Linked DNA regions of Neodiprion lecontei. The protein of the gene in region 2 purifies or fractionates together with the protein of the main gene of each other region. This does not show direct contact. Links are inferred from orthologs where the notes say so. Each region holds a gene or a part of one and is shown on either strand. Other genes may lie near its edges.

Region 1 (6,570 bases), on a different chromosome or scaffold from region 2:
ACCGACCGGCTGCCGTGGTTTGGTCCTTGCGGTTTTGAACAAGGTTTTCTGCTCCCCTTTGAGGAGATGGTACTTCAAAGCTTCGATGAGAAAGTCCTTGCCTGAAACGAATTCGTGTAAACTGAATCACTTGAAATGCTTCGGCTTCCGGCCAACATTCATACGTATCTATAGATATTTCCGGCTGTTCACTGCCACTTCAAAAACTCACACTGCAAGTTAGCTTTTAGCAGTGGTTCCTGTTCGACTCTCTGGACTAGGTACTCCTGAGAAAGGAGAGGCAGCCTGACGTGCTCCATCAGCTGAGCAAGGTGGTCTTGCCTTCGCTCCAGATCGTTGTGGACCCATGATATAACGCACTCAAACACCTTCTCCTCGGACGGAACAGTCAAACGATCGCTGCATATCAGCTTGGCGACTTGTTGCGGGGTCAGGGTGAGGAACTCCTCTCCTTCGACTACCTCTCTGCACGATCGAAAGCAGAAGTGAAAGAAAGGTGGTAAGACGAGGGAACCGCGCACAATCATCATGGTTACGAGTATCTATGACCCTTACGAGAAATGTTGTTCTATGTAGCTGTCGGCGTGCGCGAGGAGCTCCATACACCCGTGGAGATCGGCGAAGGCTCGGATGCCAAGGCAGTTGGACGGATGGAGTTGGGCCTGAAGAAAGTCGCAGCACGCGTCACGGACGTCGTTTAGCTGGAGGAGATTCGCCGCCGGCAGAAGCACCTGCACGTTGTCCTCGGTGACGTGAACCTCCGCGGAGTAGACGTAGTCGACGAGGAGGTCGAGAGCAGCGTGGTCAACACCCTGCAGAGTGATCCTCTCTCGTTCCCGCTCCTCGAAGCTCGTAAACATCGCATAAAAGTACGGGCTGCACGCGGCCAACACCATTTTGTGGGCAGGAACTTCCACCCCGCCATCCGCCACCAAGGTCACGTCGCAAAGCAGGTTTTGCCTATGATCAATTGCATTTTGTGTCAAACTTTTTTTTCCCTCACCATTCCTCAGTTCTATGCCTATCCTTGCCCAAAGTTGTGATAAAATAGATCGTAGACGCGACTTCTTTCCGAAGAGGTATCGACTTTAACAGCAAAGAAAAGTTTTCCAGCCTTCAAACGGCGCCGATAGTTTTCGCGATTTTGAAAAGGGAATTACACAGTGAGCATAATACATGAAAGCAAAGTTTCATACTCCAGATATAACAACGTTAGCGCTGAATTTGAGGAATACCTGTAGCGTCCACTTTTATGGTCGCGAGTAGAAGCATTATTGATGAGAATATTTGAGCTTTTCAGAGATTTAAAACATGTGAATGTTGTAATTGCTGTTTCGAGTTTGAATTTTCCAAGATACATTCAACGAACTACATCTTCGTTACATGTGATGGGAGGTCATTCATCTAGGGGAGTAAAAATGTGATATTCCAATCTTCAAATTATTTTGTACATCGCCAGTGTCTATACGCTGCCGTTCACATTTTTTTTCTTTCACACCATGAAAATTCCAGGTTTTATTCGAAGGGTAGGAATAATGATGTTCAAAGAAGGTGTGTCACGCTGTTACAATAAGCAGTAAAATCTGTTGATGCATGAAACGGCGGTACGTGTTAAATTCTAAACTTCCGGCCCGATATAGCGTCCGTCGATTACTCGAGGGTATTTCATAAATCCTTAACAAGAATCGAAAAAACGCCTGGATCCGGTCGCGGCGATTCATCGGGCTACACCGAGAATTCCAGAGAATGCTCAAGATTATTTATATCGATGGTGTAAACGAAAGATGCCACACTCCGCAGAGTATTGAATCAGTGACGTACCAAACGTTCGTAACATAAAAAAGTCTAGACCAAGAAGATCAAAAAAAGCAAGGAGCAGACAAACAAATTGCACTACGCGTTTCATGCGGTGGATGACGAAACTCCTTAAGATTAGCCCGTTTGTTCACCGGAGGCTGTTCCGTTGTAATCTCTTTTTTCTCTTCAATTTATTATCATTCTATTTTTTGTGTGTTCGTTTTTTTCCCCCCGAATATCGCGGCGCCTCTAAAAGTAGAAAGTGTGTAATAGTTTGCTCATTATATGCTAGTGACCACGCTCACATCTTCGCGCAACCGTTGAATCAGGAGCTAAATTGACGGTAATTTGTTACTGAAATCATGATGAATTAGCAAAGGTCACTGTCGGATATGTTGTTATGTCATGGAGGCGTTAAGTTGCGAAGCGAAAAGAATTTAAAAAAAAAAAATTAAAAAAACAAATCGAGAAAATAATAGAAAATCTATATAAGTAAAACGTAACAGGTTGTGTACTAAAATCTTGGGATACAAATTAATGAGACTTTAACTATAAATTTCTGCGAAAAGCAGCTTTTTTTCCTCGGCATATGCCGGATGTGTACGATCTATTAATTTTCTACGCACGGTAGACGCAAGTTATTGAATGTAACACTTACTTTCTCATGGTATTCATCACGTCGAATGCCCGATTAGTGTGATGGTGGTTTCGATAAGGTGGTTTGTCCTTTCCATTTTCCCTTGGAATGTGTTTCTGTGAGCTCTCGTCGAGCGAATTCTGGCTTGCGTAGCGCAGTAGCAAACAGCTGAAAGTAAACAAAGTATATTTAAATGAGAAATGGAAAGTACCAAGAGTACTAGAAATGAAAAATTTCTCTATTGCGAAATTGAAACTTTTTTCTCTGCTCCATGTTCGCTCATCGCTCAATATTTTTTCTATAAAAGTATAGTATACGCTGTACATAGTTGTGCACGAGACGTACAAAGTCCAAGGGTGAAGACCTTATTCCCACTCCGTCTCCCAGCAGCTAGATAACAAAAATAACTTAAACCACAAGGGGAAAAGAGGAGGAGGGGGAGAAGCGGCAGGGGATATTTAGACAAGCAGACATCATCGCCAGACAATGATCCGTACGTTCTCACGTCCCTTTGACCAAAGATTTGACAGATATTCTCGGAGTAAGATAGATCTTCATTGTATTTCACGGGAGCATCCTACTCCGGAATATCGTTAGGAATACAAAAGGCGCCTTGGCTTTAGCTTGAAACGCGCCAGTCACGATTCGCGCAGTTAGGAATAAGATCACAGAATTTCTGGGTTTACCGTTGCACCGTACGAATGACTGTCAATTAGTATTTTCTCAGTATTCGTACACTTTTCGAGTAAGTAAACAGAGGCTACAGGCCTCGTATATCTCATACGATCCGTGTCTGCATGTGTGCGATATGCGTTGGGAACTTCGCGGTAATTTCTATTTAAGGAGTAATTTTCTGCAGCGAATTTTGCTGTTTTTGTAAGGAAAGACCGTTATTAATGTCGTCAGCAAACATGTTCGTGATGTGTTTCACGCCAATTGTGGACACATCGTAAGAACAAGTGAGCTACGGTGAATTTCGAACGTTTGAACATGGTTTCCTACTTTCGACAGAGAGAAATAGAGAAGGAGGTCTCACCTGCCCTTGGTGTCATTTCCATCGCCGCTTCCGCTGTTCGATGACGGCTCCATGTCCACGGTGATTCGTGATAGTGCAGTTTAGTAGTCGCAAATTAATCTATAGAGATTCCATTAAACACAAATACGACGAGAGATGTATGTATGTCGGATATCTCGCACGTTACGTGCCAACACTGTTTTTCGACTAAATCATCGTCTCGGACACGGAATTTCGACTATTGAACACAACACGTATTCGATACACTCTTAGAATCATCATGATATAGTCTAAGCTTTCACTGTCTATCATCGGCCACTTTTTGAAAACGGAAAACACTCTCTTCAACGAAAGTCGAGCCTAAAACCAAGTTTCAGCTACAGCACTACTGGTAAACACCAAAGATGGCGTCCGATGTATTTATAGATATGCGAGGGTACTCGTATCAACAAAGTTGTAACTCCATCTATTGACGTTTTCATCAAGCTTTTGGCTCCCCAAAAGCAATAGTAGATAGAACGGGACCGTCTTACCGACCGTGATTAGTCGATAGTAATTCTTTTCAAAAGAAGGTCAGAAATTGATAACTATTGCGTTAAACCAGTGAAAAAATTTAAAATCTTTATTGATTCACGTGACATCGTTTTTCCATAATAACCGAAGATTATTCTACGTTGATGACGATTTGACAACAACGAAAGAGCCGTACATATCCTACCGACTGATGATACGGTAGTAACCGAACAAGAAAATGTTTAAGAAAGTTCAGTGAAACAATTGACGGCGTCACGATCATACCAGTTTGTTTGAACGGTGTTTTTTTTTCTCCTCCGTTATGCAAATTGCAAAATTAATTGCGCTCACACGAAAGAAAGAGAACCAAGTCCATCGACGTATCACCGCATTCAAAGAGTGCCAATGACGATGAGTTATTAATTAGAAAAAAATAGAAAGGCAAATTAATATCAAGTTCGAATGACAGCGAGGTTCATTGCGTGAAATCGCGGAGACGTCGGGCGGAAAGCAAATCTGATCGAGCGACGCTTGCCTTCAATAAATACCAAATGTACCCGAGCGAAAAAACGCTACGGAGAAGAAGCAACCGCCGCACAAACGTAAGAAGAAAAGAAAAGAAAAGGCGGAGGAGGAGGCAGACTGACGAGGCGGCTGAGGTGTGGTGGAGGCGCCGGGCGGCTGGCGTGAGTATCGCTCGTGGTCCGCGATATCGTGGAGGCTTCGGAAGGTGCCCTCATCGCGCGATTCGATAGTCACCCGGCAGCCAGCCGTGTAAGCGCGTCGCGGTGTTCGGTCGGGACTGGGATACGAGTGTATTGGATGCGAAGAGTATAGGGATCTCGTATAAAAGCTCCCAGGATTAAATTTGGTAAAAAATTAAAACAACGAAAAAGAAGAAGAAGAAGAGGAGGAGGAAGACCCAAAGCCGGGAGACGATCCGCCGACTGCATCTTCGATTCGCGTCGTGGATCTCGAGGGGAGCGAACCGTTCACCAGGTTTGCTTGCTCTTCTTATCATTGGCATTCGAAGGCCGCGTGGCGGGCTTTTTAATCGGCGAGGTTTAAGCTGTTGCGCAGCCACGTATATATGTATACAAAGACACGCGCAAAAAAGTGACAGACATAACGGTGATACTGTGCGACGGAAGTTAAGCTGAAAGCCGGAACGCAGGGAGCATCTCGGCCCTTTCTATCATCTCAACTTTGCTAAGGGTGCGTGGTCCTTGTATGATCTGTAACGTATGTTCTATCAATGTCACGCGAAACGATATCGTGCTAACAATAAGAATCGTCCCTAGCCACGCGTACATACAGGTATACAGTATACAGCGTACACCTGTGTATTATACACATATACCTGTATTACGTGTTTGCAGCGCACTTGACGTCGTGACTTGTACATATATGTTACGTCTGTTCCTCTCGTCGACGTAGTCAGTATTTTATAATTGGTTTTTTGTTCTTTTTCCACTCGCAATAAACTTCGCCTCTCGGGTTACCGCCGCCGCTTCATCACACCAGTCACGACATGTCTTATTCGTTTCGGAATATGTAGACAACTACACCGCGTGTATACTTACCTCCGACTAAGGTCTCACCGCAAAATGTTTAATGAAACAGCAGGTCTGTTGTGACAAGTGCAAGGCTATTATACGGCTTATACTTGCGCGCATTTAACGGTATTTTCCAGCCGATTATCGTCATTAATCAAAAGAATTAAACTCAAAGCTACAATATCGAACGCTTCGACGAGCAGCGATGAAGTTACGCGGATCATCCAAACGTTTATAAGTTTCTGTAAAAAAAAACGAATCTACTCATTCGTGAATGAGGAAAATAATATTCAATCTTCGTATGCGCAAAGCATTGGCAACGAATCGCGCGGACTATGACTCAATTGAAACTTTCATAGTTGACTCGCGTTCCGGATAGATTCTCTTATGCTCAAGCAATGAAACAGGTATGAGAAATGCCAAACTGCGCATTTCGGGTTTACGACTCGACGAAAGGATGAGCCACGACGCCGCGCTGAAGATTCTATCGTGTCGTTTTATTATCGATTACCTACTTGTGTACAATAATATGTCTTACAGGCCTCGTTTTCTTCCGGCTCAATTCACCAGTTTATTAATTTATTTTTTTTAACGATCACTGCCACCATTTTCCGCCGCACAAAACGGCTGTATGAATTCGCGTGCAGGCCGGTTCATTCAGAAATTACGTAAGCAAATTAGGAAACGCGCCACTTTGGTGCACTGAATGAAACGTTATAGCGTGTATGAAATTAACACCGTCATGGCACGCAATATGTGGGACGCCGTGTATACGCGCAGCGCATGGCACCGATCACCGAATTATTCTGACCCGTACGGTTTGCCTTTGGGATTTGCACGTATTTGCAAAATTTTTCACACTGAGTCACTCACAGGTATTTGCGTCGGGTGGGGGACGATTAGGCTGACGAAGAATTCAGCAATTCGCCAACAGCTGCGACAAAGAAGTTGAATCAGTGTGACTTGAAACGTTCAGAGATTGCTAGAGGTACGGAGGCCAACTTACGAAAAGGTGCCCGGTTATGGGTGTGTTTTTCAATTAGCTTCCCGGA
Region 2 (9,320 bases):
TTAAACGCGGCGGACACAATGTGACTGTAGGTACGCATGCAACACGAATACCATTGCCACATACCGCCGGCCCTGTGAATTGTGCAAAAAAATGTAACTCAACATAATGTGACGAATCGCTAAACTGCTACGAGAGTAAGAATAATCGATGGGGGACCCGATTCGAGGGATCCGCAGTTCGTCGGTGCGTTGCCCAATTCGCCGCAAATAACAACAGCGAACGTGTGTGTGCAGGTCGTGCAATTTGCGAAACACCCGACACTCCGACAAAACTGCTCATTCCGAAGCTAAGGCCGAACATATAGCATTATACGTACATGATGAATGCGTCGGCTCAGGGACAGTTGTATGGCGTTTCGTGTACCACACCCCGGAAGAACTGGCAATCCTAGGCCATTAACGAACTTATTTATATCCCCGGCGAGGAGGAAGTATTTCAGAACGAACGTCTCTTCTCACCTCCGTGTTCCCGGGGGCTGTGGAAACGACGCCGTGATACAATACACCGGGAAGAATACGCGAGTACGAATCACTGCTTCCGTCGAAATGGGAAATCGTGGTATAATACCGCGCTATGATGCTACAGAGGAATCAATTGCCGCTGGACGAATGGATGAGGGTCGCTATATCGAGGAAACCGCGTGCGCTGCCTTTTTCCTAGTGGGGATATCGCGGTTTTCTATCTTACGCAGCGGCGCGATTACGTATTCCCGGAACGTACGGGACGCGAATGCATGCCTGCACGTGACTTCTTTTGACCTTGTCAGAGGAATTGGCAATGAATTTTCGTAAATCGAATGGTGGCTGTGTAGTGGAGAGGGATGCAATGGTACTCACTAATGTGCAGGGGTGCGAAATCATCCAGCCCTCGTTGTTCACCGCTCTTCAAAGAAGTCGAAACACGGACTGGTAGCGGCACATTATTTTTCGCACACAGATGAAACGAACGCCTCGTCCACGTTCGGTGAATTATTACATGTACTGACAAGCTCGCGACGGAGGTCCAATCCCTGGAAGTCCTGGCGCCACCAACACCGGCGGCAAACTAACAACGCGCCGATCGCTGCCGACGCCGCGCACGATCTGTCACAATTCCCCCTGCGCGCAGAATCCGGTCTTGCTTGAGAGGAATTTTTAATTGTACACGTAATGATCAGCATTTGTACCGCGACGAACCTGAAAACTTGATTCTGACTGTACCATTTTTTGAAGCACAGGTTCGATTTTTTGTGATAGAAACGTAATACGAGAGCATTCATATTTCTTGTATTTTTTCTGTTCTGTCGTCATACGTGAATCTGATAAAATGTATGAATTTCTTGTCCCAAATCAGGGTTCACCCATTATAATGTTTATAGGTAAAATTGACTGTATTTAAATCCATTTATTGATACAACGTTTTTTTCATTATCATATACAATAGTTTGAAGATACATACTCAGACACACCTTACTTATACACCCAGTCAAAAAAAAACTTTTCGCATATATTATATACGCACATTCGCACTCAATTTCTACAGTCGCGTTCGTAACAAATTAGGTATAGGCAGTCGCTGTTTTACCCACGACAATATACCTGTGTATATTATTTTATAGTTTTTGCAAGAGCCAAATTCTACAAGGAATTATTCAGAGAGGAAGTGGACATGAAACGGGACAAGGGTAGGGCGGAAGTATAACACGTAAAATGTACGCAAGTATAATTCATTAATGCATCTGGAATAATTTAAATTCTTTATAATAATTAAATCTATATTGTTTACCGTTGGCGAGTTTTTTCTTTCTCAAATTAGTTACAGATTTTATACGATCAATTCATTTTATTTCGACTCAGAGTTCTTAATATCAGAGTCGATAGATTCTGGAAAAAATAAAAATAAATAAATGAAGTATATCTTAATGTTTTGATTTCATTATTATAGATCTTATGTTACACTCTACAAACGTCCGTTACCGTTAACCACTCATCACTGTCACATGTGACAAAACAAAAGAAAATAGCAAAACCGAATCAAAACAAATAAAACGAAGAGTACGGAGAAAGTATTCGTGCAGACTTTGAACACAAATTAATTTTAAAAGACTTGGAATGTGCAGAGGAAATTTGTATTGCACAAAGCAGTTGTGTTCGATTAGTTGATACGAGACTAGTTGACAGTCATGTGACAACGATGAGCAATTATAGAACTTCTTTGGGGCATAACAATTCCCCAGAAATACCCAGTTTGGTTCATGAAGTACACGTCGTGCGTTCTCTACGCAGTTACCCTTGCCGACGGCCGTATGTGTACATAGTATATATATTTGAAACAACTCGGTATCGAATGTAAAAAATTTCGTTTATTCTTTTTAAATCTCTATGATAAGGGGGAAGGATAATATAATAACAACGATTGCCGAGGAAATATCCGAATAATTAAATACGCGCAGGCTTGATACTAATACGAGATTGTGAATACCGTGCCTAATATGTTGGGGTGGCCACTTACGCAATTGTACAAACTTGGGGATGCTTGGGGCAGTGTTCAAGCCACGTAAGTGTAGACTTTCCTGTAACAAATAGTGAATGTAGGGATGAACCGAAGTTTTGTTTGAGTCATGTGGGAAATATAAGAACGGTAAAAACAAAAAGAACTGTGTTATTCACCTGTCTTCCGTGCGGGCCAGATAATCACGTTCTATCAGCCCTTCGATGCGTTTCTTGATGATGACAGGTGAGGGCAGGAATCGTACTCGAAGCTGCTCCGTGACTTCCGTCACGAGAATGTTGTGCTAATTAGATTGAAACAAAGTATGAGATAACGAATACGATCGAGATTCATACATTTTATGAAGCGATCGACAGACGAATACGTACTGTCATGCGTTTGCGTGCCTTCATAATTCGCACGATCGCCGCTTCTATTTCATGCTTTCGATCTTCGTCAACCTTGTTCCTCGTCTCTCTTCTCTCAGGCTCGGACTCTCCTTTCGCCGCAACCGTCTGGATTTTTACTCTAGAAGTTGGACAGACCCGATATAAGGCAGAAACGATCAAAGATATAATGTCAATCTCAAAACTTACCGATGAAGCTTACTGGTGAAACTATCATTGACACTGAAGCAGTGTGTTGGCTCAATTTCTTTAGTTTTGGGATGCTTGAGGAGAACTCGCTGAGTCGCCTTCCCCATTGCCAGAGATTGTAATGCTCGGACTAAATCTCGCTCAGGGATGTCAGTTTCATTCTGAATTTCCTGCGATATTAATAAACGCTGGCATCAGTAGAGATCATTTATCTTTTTACCAACTAAAATCATGGGAATGTAACAAACCTCGTAAGTGAGTCGATCTCTGTTGTTGAAGAGCATGAGTACGCACATCTGGTACGTCGATACTTGGATAATATGTTTGCGGGGATTTCCACTGCTGCTTCCCCGCTGACTTAAAAGACTGCCACTTCCGTTGCCCAATGTGGTAGAGGACGAGGGAACGTCCACGCTTCCGCCATTACTGTCTTCCTTCCGAGGCCCATGGAAAACCGCATTAAGGTCAGCCGAACCTGTGCACACGGTCAACAATGAACCATTAATTTGCCAATTCTGCTTGAACTCGATTCAACAAAGATGACTAGTAATTACCCAATTGTGGTTGTAACGTCAGTTGACGACCGCTATGCTTGGCCAAGTAGAAACATCGAAAAGCATCAAACGCTTCTCTTGGCGCTGAGGGCACACTGCAATTCGGTGTTGCTGACTGTGTTGGCCAAAATCCTGTTGTCAGAACCCTCACGCTCAGATCAACGCCGTGTAGACTTGTCTGTGAAATTTGATAAACAATTATCCAGAAATAATTATGCCTGAGCAGTTCCACGTCAGTTTGATCATTTCAGATTTGATGTGAGAATGAAGGATTTTTTTCAACACGTTTGTAACTTACGCCAGACGTTAATACGTGTTCCTTGAACTCTTCCATTATAGTATTGCTGACCGTCATATCCTTGAACATTCCTTCCAGCTTTGATGTAAACTGGCAACCGCATTCAGTCTAAAAAATTGCACAGTTATGAGTTATTATATAGGTACGTATATACAGTGTCAGAGTCTGCGGTAACTGTTTTGAATCGAGGTTTTGACCTGCCCTGAAGTCCTGCAGTAGTTGACGAAAGGTTTCTACATTCGTACGTCTTTTATAAGTAAAGTGCTAGCTTTATTAAACCATGCAGAACTCCAAGGCATGTGTCTTTGCCACTCCCTCTGCCAAATTGTCTATCACACCAATTGCAATATAGTGTTTAATCGGCTAAGAAAATCAGAGCTTCGTAAAGCATGCCCGAGACACGCGCCGTGTCTGAATTTGATCCAATACTTTGACGAATAATACTCGCATACGAGCCTGAACCGAAGGATGATTAAATTGTTGGAAGGTTTGACGGTTGGTTGCTCAGCTCGAAGCATGGTTTTCAGCATGGTTTACAAAGCGGACACTTACTTGATCCTACAATGGGATCGGGACACAGGGTGGACGGACATACTCTAGTCTAGTTTCTCTTTGTGCACTAGCCCTTCGACCTTTGAAGGAAGAACGACTCCTGGGAATCTTTGGGTGGCTCAGCGTTCAGCTTTTTCATTGCGATCAAGATGTCCACGTCCACGTTGAACGCGCCCTGTGTCTGCCAGAACTATGCCATTTAAAATTTTCACACTATCCAATGGGACAATTTACTCTAGCCTCAGTTTGCCAAAGTATGCCGAATGAAACTAGGTGTCAGCGCATCTACGAGCGCGTTTGTAAGACGCAATTATGGATCATGTACCTTTAGCTTTGAGATCATATTCTTTTCACTGTCATCGGAGACGGACTTATTCAGAAGCAACCGCTTGGCTAAATGCTGTTTATAGTATCGCTCAAAGACATCCTTCTCTTGCAGGAACCTGAAGAGAACCATTGTCTTGTCAAGCACGCCTTCGATCTCCTGCTCTGTCATCTGTAGAAAGTAACATTTCAGTTAAAACCTGCACGAAAGGATCTTCATGCCAAGCCGCATTCAACTTACCCCCTTTACACCTTTTTTTAATTTGTCATCGATAAAGAGAGAAAGATACTCAGGGCTCTTTGAATTTAGATTCAGAAAGTGTTCAAAATCCGACGCGATCATTTGCTTGAATAGTTTATCATTGTTAAACGAGTGGTGCAGGAAATGGTCGAAACGATCTTTCAAGTCCAGCAGATTTTGCACAAAGTGTATTGCGTTTGTGGTTGGCTCATGCTCTTCTTGGACCAAGGCGCGTCCTTGCTCTCTGAGGAATTGCGACACACAATCTGATACAGTGCGCAATCCGTCTGTTACTCTCGCGAATAATTTGTACATGCAACCAAGGTCTTCAGTTTTCTGGTTCTTCAACATATGCACCACACCACTGTTTTCCATCTGCAACAGCATTCATTTGAATTATTTCAAAGTTTACAAGACTTTAGAGCAATTCTGTAACACGTAACAAAGATTTGATATACATGAAGTTTACTGCTAAATTTTGTCCTCACCTCAACGATGGTTCTCATGTGTATTTTAATCAACTCTTCTTCCACCACTTTGACTATCCTTGGCTCTGTGGATTCGTCCAGATAGTGCTTCGCCCGTTCTGACTCTTCAAGAATTCTAGCTTCAACTTTCTTTATGTAGACTGAGGCGCTGTTCTCGCCAAGGAACTTTTGCGACTCCATCTGTTGAATATTCGTTAAACACGATTGATTGAAAATTAATAGGACAATTGATATGGTTTTGTGAAAATAAAAGTAAAACTTGCCCTGTAAAATTCAGCGCTCTGTTGTAAGAAAGGCCTCTCGAAATCCTCTTCGTAAACTTGGCGACAGTTTATACCGAGCAGCATTAGCATTTGACATGCATTCTTTATCGCGATTCGATCAACGACCTCCCCCCTTCTCTCTCTCGCTACCATGCCCAGGAGTGTCTCGCGTAGATGATCCCTCACGCAGCCGTACCTGACTACCTGAAATAAATAACGATTCGTCAAAAAGGATTTGTACAGATGTAGCGAAAGCAACGGTTTCAATCGATGTGTTACCTGATCCCTGAATATGATTAGGCCCAAGTTGTAGACGTTGTCAACATCATGCTGTTGCACATAAACCCTATCCATGTACATTAGTATATCCCTGATCATAACCATAGAGGTCTGATGATCGTTCCAAGCCTGATTCAGTGTCTGGAGAAAATTGTTGTGAAGGGAGCGTAGCACGTCTTCCCGAACTTTCGACTCCAGGTGCTGCGTAACAACTTCTTTCAACCCGGTGTACAAACGCTCGCCATGCTTGTGAAGGACCATGGTGTATGCATTTCGGTACAGCTCCTCAAAACTCAGGCCGGAGTTGTTTTTCTTTTGTATTTCTTGTATGGCGTTCTTCAACAGTGCCCAAATACTCTCCACATATTTTTCGTCCATGGTCATCTAAAAACAGAGCATCTAGGTGTGAGAATAAAAAATCAACGCTGATTTGGCAAACTAATAGGCAGTGTCCCTCACAAGGGTGTCGACGATCACAAGGGAGCTCGGATTCCCTGATCGAAACAGCCCTGAGATAGTAGCTATTTCACTGAGTGCTCCACACATAATTTGTGAAGTTGGTTTTTCTAACTGACCACGTTCCATGGTTGGATTTTTATCCAATCCTTCTCTGTGTGGTGACCGCTCAATCACTTTCTTTAACCTATTGTTTTATGTGTCGATCGGCATAGTCGCCATATCAAGAACGCTCAAAATTAACCTTGACTTGTCAATATAGCATCAGCAAAGACGTGATTACTGCTGTCACTAAATTGGAGTTTCTACATCCAGGCCTAGTCCTTTGAACAGGCAATCTATCAGCCTATTGATAGTTTCAGTGATTTGTAAGACTTTGGACTTGAAAATTTGGCGAAAGTAGCGTTTGTCGGGGTGAAAAATTTCGTTTTTGGATTTGTAGGGAAAAAAAAGTGAAAGGCATACTCCTTTCCATTGTCTTTATGACTGCTAAGGCAACTGTCTTGAATTTGGGGGGGGGGGGGGGGGGGGTGAGAATGGGGAAAAAAACACATTAGGTTCGTTCACCAAACCAGTGCACCTTTCGTAGGCTGCTGTGGTTTGGCTATCTTGATACAATATACAAAGGGGCCGAAAGTGAAAGCTGATCAAATATATTATATTGTTATATGGTTTTAGTCGATGTGAGCTAGGTTAAAGGGGTCGGGAAAGAGGAGGTGGGGAGGATGACGGGTGGACATATTTCCATTTAAATGACAGTGCGTGAAATCCGACGGACCCGAGCGTCGAGCCTCGAGGATCGTGAGATCGTGACAATATGAAAACTGCCCGAGTCGAAAGGCGAGGCGAGGCGAGGCGAGGAGCAGCGAGTTTTTCCTCCTTTTAATCAAATGGGCATGCATATTCGTCGATGAGGGAAATAAGATACGTGAGAAATCTTCTTACCGGAAACGCGCGTATCCGCATTTTTTCTCTCTTGTGGGTCGCACCGCTCTTCATCATTTTCAGTAGTAAAAAATCTCCTCAAGGGTCTTCGTTCAGCTTGACACTTCGGTATTATTACTACCAACACTATAAAATCGAGTCAGCGAAAATCTCGATCTCCGTACGCACATTTACAAAGCTTTAACGGTGTCATTCACGCATCGAGGCCAGGGGCGGGCGCGGGGGCGACGTGTATTTCGCAATGGTGGGTTCGAGGAATAATATCGACGCTCGCTCGACGGTGAGAAACAACGGGGACCGAGCGACCAGTCAATGTCGGTTATTTACAGGAAAACAAGGCATCTGAAATTACCCGTTATCGCGGGACTGTGTGGTGGGTAGTGGTAGGTATAAAATGGAGTCGCGCCACCAAAACACAGAATTTATTTTATAGGGTTATTTAAACGCGTCTGCCTCACGTCGTCGGTCTTTAACAAGCTCGTCTCTTCCTCGTTAGTTCTCTTTGTGCTTTTCTTTCCTTTTTACCTCCGCCTTAATTAATCTCACTTCAATGGAATGACGCACATATTCCCACAGATCGAGGCATACCGAATTTCAACCGTGTGTATCAGACGATCTATTTTCCTAATTATTCCGCGACGATGACGACGGGCTGCCGGAGGAGGAGGAGAAGGCGATGAAGCGAGCACGGAGCGCGAATAACTAATCGAGCGCTGTGGGCTGCGTTCGATTCACGCGGTACTATAAATACACATTTTTATCACGATGTAATGGAACGTAACATAAAACTGTAACAAAATACGCGATTACCACGCATAATTGTATACACAAAATATCGCACTTGGCGAATAATCCTATTCCGTTGAATAATTAGGCTGCATTTCATTACCGACTACCGGAACTACATGCCTCCAACCCCCATGGTAAAGAAGTTCCCGTACAGCTGACTAGGAGCCCTTTGTTCCGATAGTTAGATGGCAAAGAGGTTTTTTTGAACGTAACGTAACCTAAAACTATAATAAAATACGCGTTTACCAAGCATAGATGTATACCGCGGTATATCGCACTGGATGAATTATCCAATTCCATTAAACGATAAAGCTGCATTTCATCACTGACTGCCGATACTACAGCTCTATAGCATCCATGGTGAGAAAATTCCAATACAGCTGTCTAGAAGCCTTCTGTTCGGATAGTTAGATGGCTAGGAGGGTTTTTGATACTGCAATACCTCTCGCTCTCGGTGACGCAATTTCCTAGGAATTATCATGATGCACTACACTGGTCTTGTAATACAATGACTTTCTATTAGCCCTTCGAAACTATTCGTCCAAAGCCGATAGTTCGGAAGTAAATGCTTCATAATTTTTTTCAGTGCTCAAACGAACGCTGTATTTTCGGCGCATTTAAGGCTCACTCATCGATCACCAATTTGTTGAAATCAATCTTTCATTACAATGAACTAGCAAGTAACCGGTTACCGATAATTTAGATATAGGTGGAAAAGAATTGCGTTTTATGCCAACATTCAAGTTGTGGAGTTACGTAAAGTATACGCAATTCAAGTATCCAACTTGATCTTTGACCATGGCTACTCAGGAAGTCTTGAAGTTATATAATTTGAATACAGTGTAGCTGTAGAGCAAGGTTTCATATCAGTCCACAGCTATTTCGAAGGAATACGAGACTATAGATAATCCAACAATATTCGCACATGCAGGTTTTCACAGTTCCTGTAAATGAGGCAATCAAATGGTAAAATCATTGTAAAACATATTTATAAAACCTTTTGTTTATACATTGAAAACCAGACGAAAATCGTTCATTTGACTTATAGGTTTACAAAAATATTTC
Region 3 (6,927 bases), on a different chromosome or scaffold from region 2:
GCAGGTGTACCGAACAACTCGCTACTCCATTGCTCTTATGAAATTACCACGTAATATTAATTTATCGTTCCAGTACCGTTTGATGCATGTAATTCGTAGCTGCATGTACTGACTTGGAGAAGCCGTAATGATGAACCATGGACAGTTCATCACAGAAATACACTTTATCAAATTCTGTATTCAGTGTAGTGTGTACTTAGAGAAATAAAATCAACAACGTTTATCGACTACATCTTATACAACGGTAAACATAAAATTCGAACGCTTTAATACTAGACACTTTCAATGTCTGAAAGCTCATTTGTCTGTAAATGTTGTCTGAAAGTTAGTAGCAATGGTTGAATCATAAACTGTTTCATTGTTGGAGGTGCAGGTGATTTCAAAATCAAAAAAATGGTGTGCTGCTACACTGTGGTCGATTCGTCCTCCCTGGCACCTTCAACAGCAGGATAATGCTTCTTATCTTATTACCATAATGTCGTGAAAATTGTTAACGGCTTTGAGAGTGTACTCTCCTATTATTTATATTACTTTTTTTTTATTTTTCATTTATTCGTTTAGTTTATTTAATGTTTTTATAGTTAGTCCACTGTCAAGTGAACAGGTCATGTATATTTCGATTATAAATCTACTATACAGAACCATCTTGTTAACCGTCAGGCAACACATTCTATTTAATATAATAATAATATTTAAATAACAACAAATTTATAATATATACTTATCATACAAATCGTTGGAATACAACACGAGACAAATACCCTTGAAATCCAAAATTCACGAAAATGGGAAGAGCATGCGATTCATATTCGTGATGGAAATAACATCAAGTTGATGAGAATTTTTGTCAGTATGTTAAAAATATCTCCATTATGCGATACAACATGCAACAAAAATAGTTTACTTTTGGACTTAAAGAGTTTTCGGTGTATGCCTGCGATGTGTAGTACGTGAATTTATTTCTTCTTTAGCCTCTGCAACAAATAATGAAATCGTGATATTGTCACAAACTTTCATCACTCGTTACATATTACCGATTACCAAACTATTTTCGTTAAGTTATGCTAACAACATAGTTGCAGAGGTGTGTACATAACTATATAAATTTTATTAATCGAGCTGCTAAGTTAAACAGAAAAAAAAAACAAAAATTAAAAGAAAGAAAGAAAAACACAGTCTTCGTCTTCTTGCTGCAACGTTGGTCTAGCAGGACTAGATTTACATGCGTGAGCCCTTCTGCTGTAGGACCTAGAATAGAATCGAACAACTCCAACTTATTATTTTTAATTTTATTTTATTTCACGTGCTTTTAAAATAATTATTGGTGCTTTTGGATTCATTTTAAAATACATAACGGATAAAACCATTTTTCTTTATTATATTGTCATTCCTACTTATTTTTGATCAATTACCTTAATGTTACGTAGAATTCTAGATAATCTTTTCTATATCTACGCGATGGATATTGTATATAATTACATGTATTATCGATGTGATCATAAATATGATAAAGTAATATAATAACTGTTCTCAGTACGAGAAAGCAGGGATACAACAACGCACTACTGGACAATCACATTAGAAATTACTGTAACCAAAGTTAATTTCTGTACCCATGTATCAACATGCCAGAGTAACCATGCAAGACGGGGTGATGATAGTAACCAAACCAATTGTACTGGGATGAAATAACTATTTATTTGACGAATAGCATGCAATACAATGGTAACGAGGAGCGAAAATTGAACAAAATAAAAGTAAATCACATATAAACACTCCAAAGAACAACATGCATGTATAGATCAGCCTTGTGATGAATATTCGATAATACATCGAATATAAATTACTTAATTTGAGACTCGTTAAATTCACATTAAACAACATTAATTTCAGTCACAAGATATCTACTGCCTCGCTAATATGCGCGTTCACGAATTGCTTAAAAACGTATAACATCACCCTTCTCATATTTGGATTACCTTTTGATTTGAGATGCTGGAATTTGACAAATCAGAGCCAAGATTCCAAAATTCTTTTATTATAATTTTCCATTTTTTTAATTGATTGAAACTGGTGCGGAAACTCTATAATTTATATTAAATAATATAAAAACTAAGTTTCCTTGCCTTTAATGTGACAAGGAAACGTGCCTGAAAACACATTACTAGAAAAAATTGATAAATACACGATTATAAGCGTGAAAATTATTAGGCAGAAATCGATGTTCTCAAATTTCCCAATTGATTTTTGTTCTATAAGGTGGAAAAAGTTGGTAAAAAAATTACTTATATGTATGTTCTACATATAACATGTTCAGAACCACCAGGTTTCAATGTTGAAACATTACAATATGATGTTTGTCGAGGCATTATTCTGCGAGGAAACATTGATAATTTCCTGACGATAAGATTAATCTTATAAGATCTATGAAGGCAAAACGAATGAATAACACCCCGATAAAATTGGATACAGTAACACCTGTCAACATTCGTAGTGGCTGCTCTAAGTAGTATATTATATAAAAAATATCATACAATATGTATACCAGTGGAAGTGCAGAGCTTTTATGAACATGAAACATTATAAAATCACTATTATTAGTGTGAAAAAAAAATAATAATGAATAAAGAAAGCGTTAAACTACGCGCTTACAATTTCACTGTCATTATTATTAAGTTTTCAGAGAGTCTGTTTTCTGATGTTCTTGATTCACATCCACTAGTTTACAAGGTCCGTATTAAAAACTTCATCTAGCTAAAGCAAATTGTTCGATTTGTTATTGAAAATCTTTGGACAATCTACATAATGGTAAATACAATAAAAAATGATTAATACAATACTTCTACAATGTGCTACTAGTAAAACAAATACTGGCATTTCTATAAAAACTAAATACCGAATCTTTCCTCACTTCTCTGCATATGCAATGAAACTTCATTATATTTAGTACAAAAACCATTCGTAATAAAATTAAAATTAACGAATTTTAAGATGTAAGAGATACTTGTACAGCAAGTTTTCCAGTAATGAAATACACAGCCATACTTAGCTCTTACTAGAGAATGACATATTTCTATCGTATTCTGTTTTGTATTTTTATTTAATAAATTGGTCCACTAGATTAAAATACTGTACCAGCTCATGAAGCTCTTTTGAATGTCCGTTAACAAAAACGGTATTCAAGAGAAAATTGTACAAAAATTACGGAATATAAAACCAGGCTTAATATCAATGCTGGTGATGGAGGTGTAAGGGTAGTGTGCAAGTACAAAAAAAACTGTAACACTTATTCCCGAATCATGAATCGTGACTGCTCTGAGTGGGGTGGGAATGTAGGATGTTTGTATAAGGTGTCAATACCTTCACACGATCAGTCGCCTCTTGTTCCTTGCTGCTGATCTGACTAGCTCCGTACTCGCGACTAACGACGCATAGGAACTCCGCCTGATCCTCATTTCCATAATTGTACTGGGATCCAATGTTGATGAGCTATAGAGACAAAAGATGAAAGTAGCAAATCATTGTAATTACTACATTGATTTGCGCTAAGAATACATTGGGTGCACAATCTACTTGAGTACTTGGAAAAGTAAGTATATGACGAAATACCGATTTCAGAGTTATAACTGAAGTCGTCGGAGTTTAAGATATTTTCGTAATACGTAGAAAAAACCGTTTATCCTCTGGATTGAGCTAATAAATTCCAGTTGTTTGAGGGAATATTCCTTCAATCAAATTTAACTTGGCTAAGTGCATTTTTACTCTACTAACTTTTCATCCAGACACTTTATCAGCGGAACTGCGCACCCAATTCCTCTTTAAGCCAAACGAGCAATTCATACCTGTTCAAATTTCCACCCGTCCGACATTGTGGAAACCATCTGTGTCAGCTCATCTTCGTGACATTGCAATACCCTGTATACATACTTCTTAGAGTCGCGCATCGGCCGTGTATCCCTGAGAAGAATTCGTTCCTTAACCAATCTAATGAGCTCGGTAATGTTGTAGAATTCAGCCTCCTCTAGGACTCCTTCTTCAGCCAGGTCCTTGTTGATAACTAGCTTACCGTGACGCAGGTAATTCAGAACTGGACTAAAGTAAGTTGGATCTCGATCGATCAAATACGCTCCAGTTTCATCCTATGGATGTAATAAAAAAAAAAAAGAAGCAAATTAGAATTTTGAGGCCATATATACTCACGTGGTGGGAACTCGACGCTCGAGACGAGACGTGGAGTTTTATGATGTCGTGTGTTAGCGCACGGTTTTAAAAGTCCCGGTTCTTTTCGAGTGTAAACTAACCCTATCAGAGATGAGATCCGAGTCTTCCTGACACAGCCGATAGAGAAACGAGTTCGGATCTCTGGCCAACGTCGTTTTGGCCGTCAAGAAATACGTCCCACCAACATTCAATTTCACCCACTGATTGTTACACCGTTTCGGAAGGTTATTTTCCGTCACTCCGTCGTGGGAGTTTGTATCGCCAAACTCCGCCATCTTAGTTTTGACACAACATTCTCCTTCCATTTCCGATCACCGTTAACATGGATCCGGAAAACGTACGCACAACTGCTTTGAGCAATCGAAAAACTAGGCGATTATGGTCCGCGATAAAAAAATGCAAGCGTTGGAACCGCGGCTAATAGATCTCAGTTGGCATATTTGCATTCATATTTTTCGATCGTCTTTACACAACAGATCGCGAGTCAGCTGCAAATTTGATCAGCGTTGTTCGGGGTCGAGACCTTATATAAATCCAACCATCTTTCGTGCGCTACCGGCAGTCATTGCGATGATCTTGTGACGAGGAGATGTTTGATGGTTGTTGGCTCGGTTTGAGCACTCAGGCTTAGAATGCCGGTGAAAGTAGACGTGGTGCCACCGCCGCCTGCTAACTCGAAGCAACCTGGAGTTACAAAGTCCCTCCTCTACAACGGCTCGAGATTTCAAGGCTCGCAAAAATCGAAAGGAAATAGTTACGACGTCGAGGTTATTTTGCAGGTTAGTTGTGCTACTCGTGTTGCGGATTAATTACGCCTCAACGTTGGGATTCTGCTGAACACCTCTCGGTGTCTAACTGGGTACCAATTCTCCAGATAACCGAGTCGCGCTGGGTTTTGACACTTTACTCAGGCCTGTTTGAACGCGGTGTCTAGTCTGCGGATTTTTATTTTAACGAACGTTAATGTCATTTCCAATCATCCACGCTGATCCGTGTTTATCACGTTTTCATTTATAGGTTAATCAGCTACAATATTGTACCAAATATAATGTTAGCTCTCAGCTGACGAATTTTAAGTTAATTACAGCACGCTTCGCCTCGTCTAGTAATCTTCTCGTCGTTGATCTCATTTCAGCATGTCGACGAAGAAAACAGCTACTTATGCGGGTACCTCAAAATCAAAGGGTTAACTGAAGAGTACCCTACATTGACAACGTTCTTCGACGGTGAAATCATATCTAAGAAGTATCCTTTTCTCACTCGAAAATGGGACGCCAATGAGGATGTTGACAAGAAACATTGGGTTTGTTCTGAACTTTTTGAATAAGTTTTGAATCCAAATTTCTCTTTGTATAATACTTTTCATCATTTACCTGACAGGGCAAAATCGTACTATCAAGAGTTCAAAAGTTACAGAAACAAGGCTTGTTATGAACTACATTGTCTATCTATTTTTCCCTCCCAAAGTTGTTGTCTTTGTCATGCAAGTGTTAGATAATCAAAGTTGTTTTCTCGTAATTAGTATATCCGGTGACATAATATATCTGTGATAATCCCGCAATTTCATGAGACGAAATTAGTTTTGCTTATCTTTTGTGGTGATAAGTATGCATGTGTATTTCATTTACTCAATTCATATGTGAATTCTGTAACAGTTGAGGCAGATATACCATTGAAACTGGCTGAAAATACAATTGAACTTATCAGAAATAAGGCTCTGATATTTTGAAATAACTGTATTTTTTCTCTTTTATCTTTGTTGAACTGGTTACCATATTGTTTTGAATATGAGTAAATGGTTTTGGTATTAGATAAAACATGAAAAGACTTACACCCTTCATTCGTGTGAGATGCCCTCACATGTAGATTTATAAAATTTTTACCGAATAAAAGTCTGTGGAACACAACTCGACTTGTATTTATAAAAATATTGTTTGGAACTATTTACACAAAAAGTTCTGCTTGAATATTATTTTCAAAAATGAATTAATACTCTACGAGTTTTTTGATTCGAAGACTCTGAATACCACTGTTTTACATATTTTTCTCGTTCATTTCAACTCCATTTTTATACCCTTTAATGGATTCACCTAATTTCTATGTATGTATGCAGTAGTGAAAATGGTGATTGCTATTATTACAGAGCAAATTCGAGTCTTTCTGTCAGTATGCCAAGACTTTCAACTCTGATACCTTTGACTATGAAGCTCTTAAAGGGACGGACTTTGTATTTATGAGATGGAAGGAGCACTTTTTGGTGCCTGATCACACGATCACAGACATTAATGGTGCTTCCTTTGCTGGATTTTATTACATCTGCTTCCAGAAGTCTGCGGCATCAATCGAGGGCTACTATTACCATCGCAGCTCTGAATGGTTTGTACATTAACTTGTTTGCACATGTTTTAGTCCAGTATATGATAACATATATGCTAAGAGACATAATCTATGATGTTGTTTAATGTCTATTGGTGTATTATTGTTGTAGGTTCCAGTCGTTGAATCTGCGACATGTTCCCGAACACAGTATACAAATTTATGAATTCAGGTGAAAGTAATGCCAGCTTCTCAGCCCCAGTTGCCCTTCTGAATCCCTTCCCTTATGGCATACCGATCTCATAATAATCCCAAATCCAGAAATTGACATATACCCCTTGTCTTGACAAATTTGTATATTAATTTTACAAACTCGAGGCTGAGAAAATT

What was found.
Region 1: the proteins of cullin-3-A (region 2) and ring canal kelch homolog purify together in Drosophila melanogaster (affinity purification with western blotting; 3 studies listed by BioGRID). This does not show direct contact. The link is inferred for Neodiprion lecontei from reciprocal best matches to the Drosophila melanogaster genes Cul3 and kel.
Region 3: the proteins of cullin-3-A (region 2) and BTB/POZ domain-containing protein KCTD5 purify together in Drosophila melanogaster (affinity purification with western blotting; 4 studies listed by BioGRID, with this or other methods). This does not show direct contact. The link is inferred for Neodiprion lecontei from reciprocal best matches to the Drosophila melanogaster genes Cul3 and inc.

The regions. Positions count from the first base shown.
Region 1 is NC_060260.1:28,569,737-28,576,306, reverse strand, and holds the start of ring canal kelch homolog, read right to left. Parts: upstream 3,931-6,570; 5' UTR 3,524-3,930; coding exon 3,471-3,523; intron 2,603-3,470; coding exon 2,456-2,602; intron 961-2,455; coding exon 556-960; intron 466-555; coding exon 212-465; intron 102-211; coding exon 1-101. UniProt on the Drosophila melanogaster protein: Component of ring canals that regulates the flow of cytoplasm between cells. May be involved in the regulation of cytoplasm flow from nurse cells to the oocyte during oogenesis. Binds actin.
Region 2 is NC_060264.1:23,156,024-23,165,343, reverse strand, and holds cullin-3-A, read right to left. Parts: upstream 6,666-9,320; 5' UTR 6,651-6,665; coding exon 6,525-6,650; intron 6,450-6,524; coding exon 6,066-6,449; intron 5,991-6,065; coding exon 5,787-5,990; intron 5,704-5,786; coding exon 5,524-5,703; intron 5,411-5,523; coding exon 5,036-5,410; intron 4,967-5,035; coding exon 4,796-4,966; intron 4,027-4,795; coding exon 3,919-4,026; intron 3,799-3,918; coding exon 3,621-3,798; intron 3,542-3,620; coding exon 3,315-3,541; intron 3,237-3,314; coding exon 3,067-3,236; intron 2,999-3,066; coding exon 2,860-2,998; intron 2,775-2,859; coding exon 2,650-2,774; intron 2,553-2,649; coding exon 2,528-2,552; 3' UTR 2,492-2,527; exon of another isoform or gene 1,864-2,491; 3' UTR 1,370-1,863; downstream 1-1,369.
Region 3 is NC_060261.1:41,718,342-41,725,268, reverse strand, and holds BTB/POZ domain-containing protein KCTD5, read right to left. Parts: upstream 4,529-6,927; 5' UTR 4,527-4,528; coding exon 4,302-4,526; intron 4,140-4,301; coding exon 3,843-4,139; intron 3,490-3,842; coding exon 3,298-3,489; 3' UTR 1,680-3,297; downstream 1-1,679. Other genes in the region: glucose-induced degradation protein 4 homolog, read left to right, coding at 4,854-5,000, 5,357-5,524, 6,365-6,597, 6,710-6,773.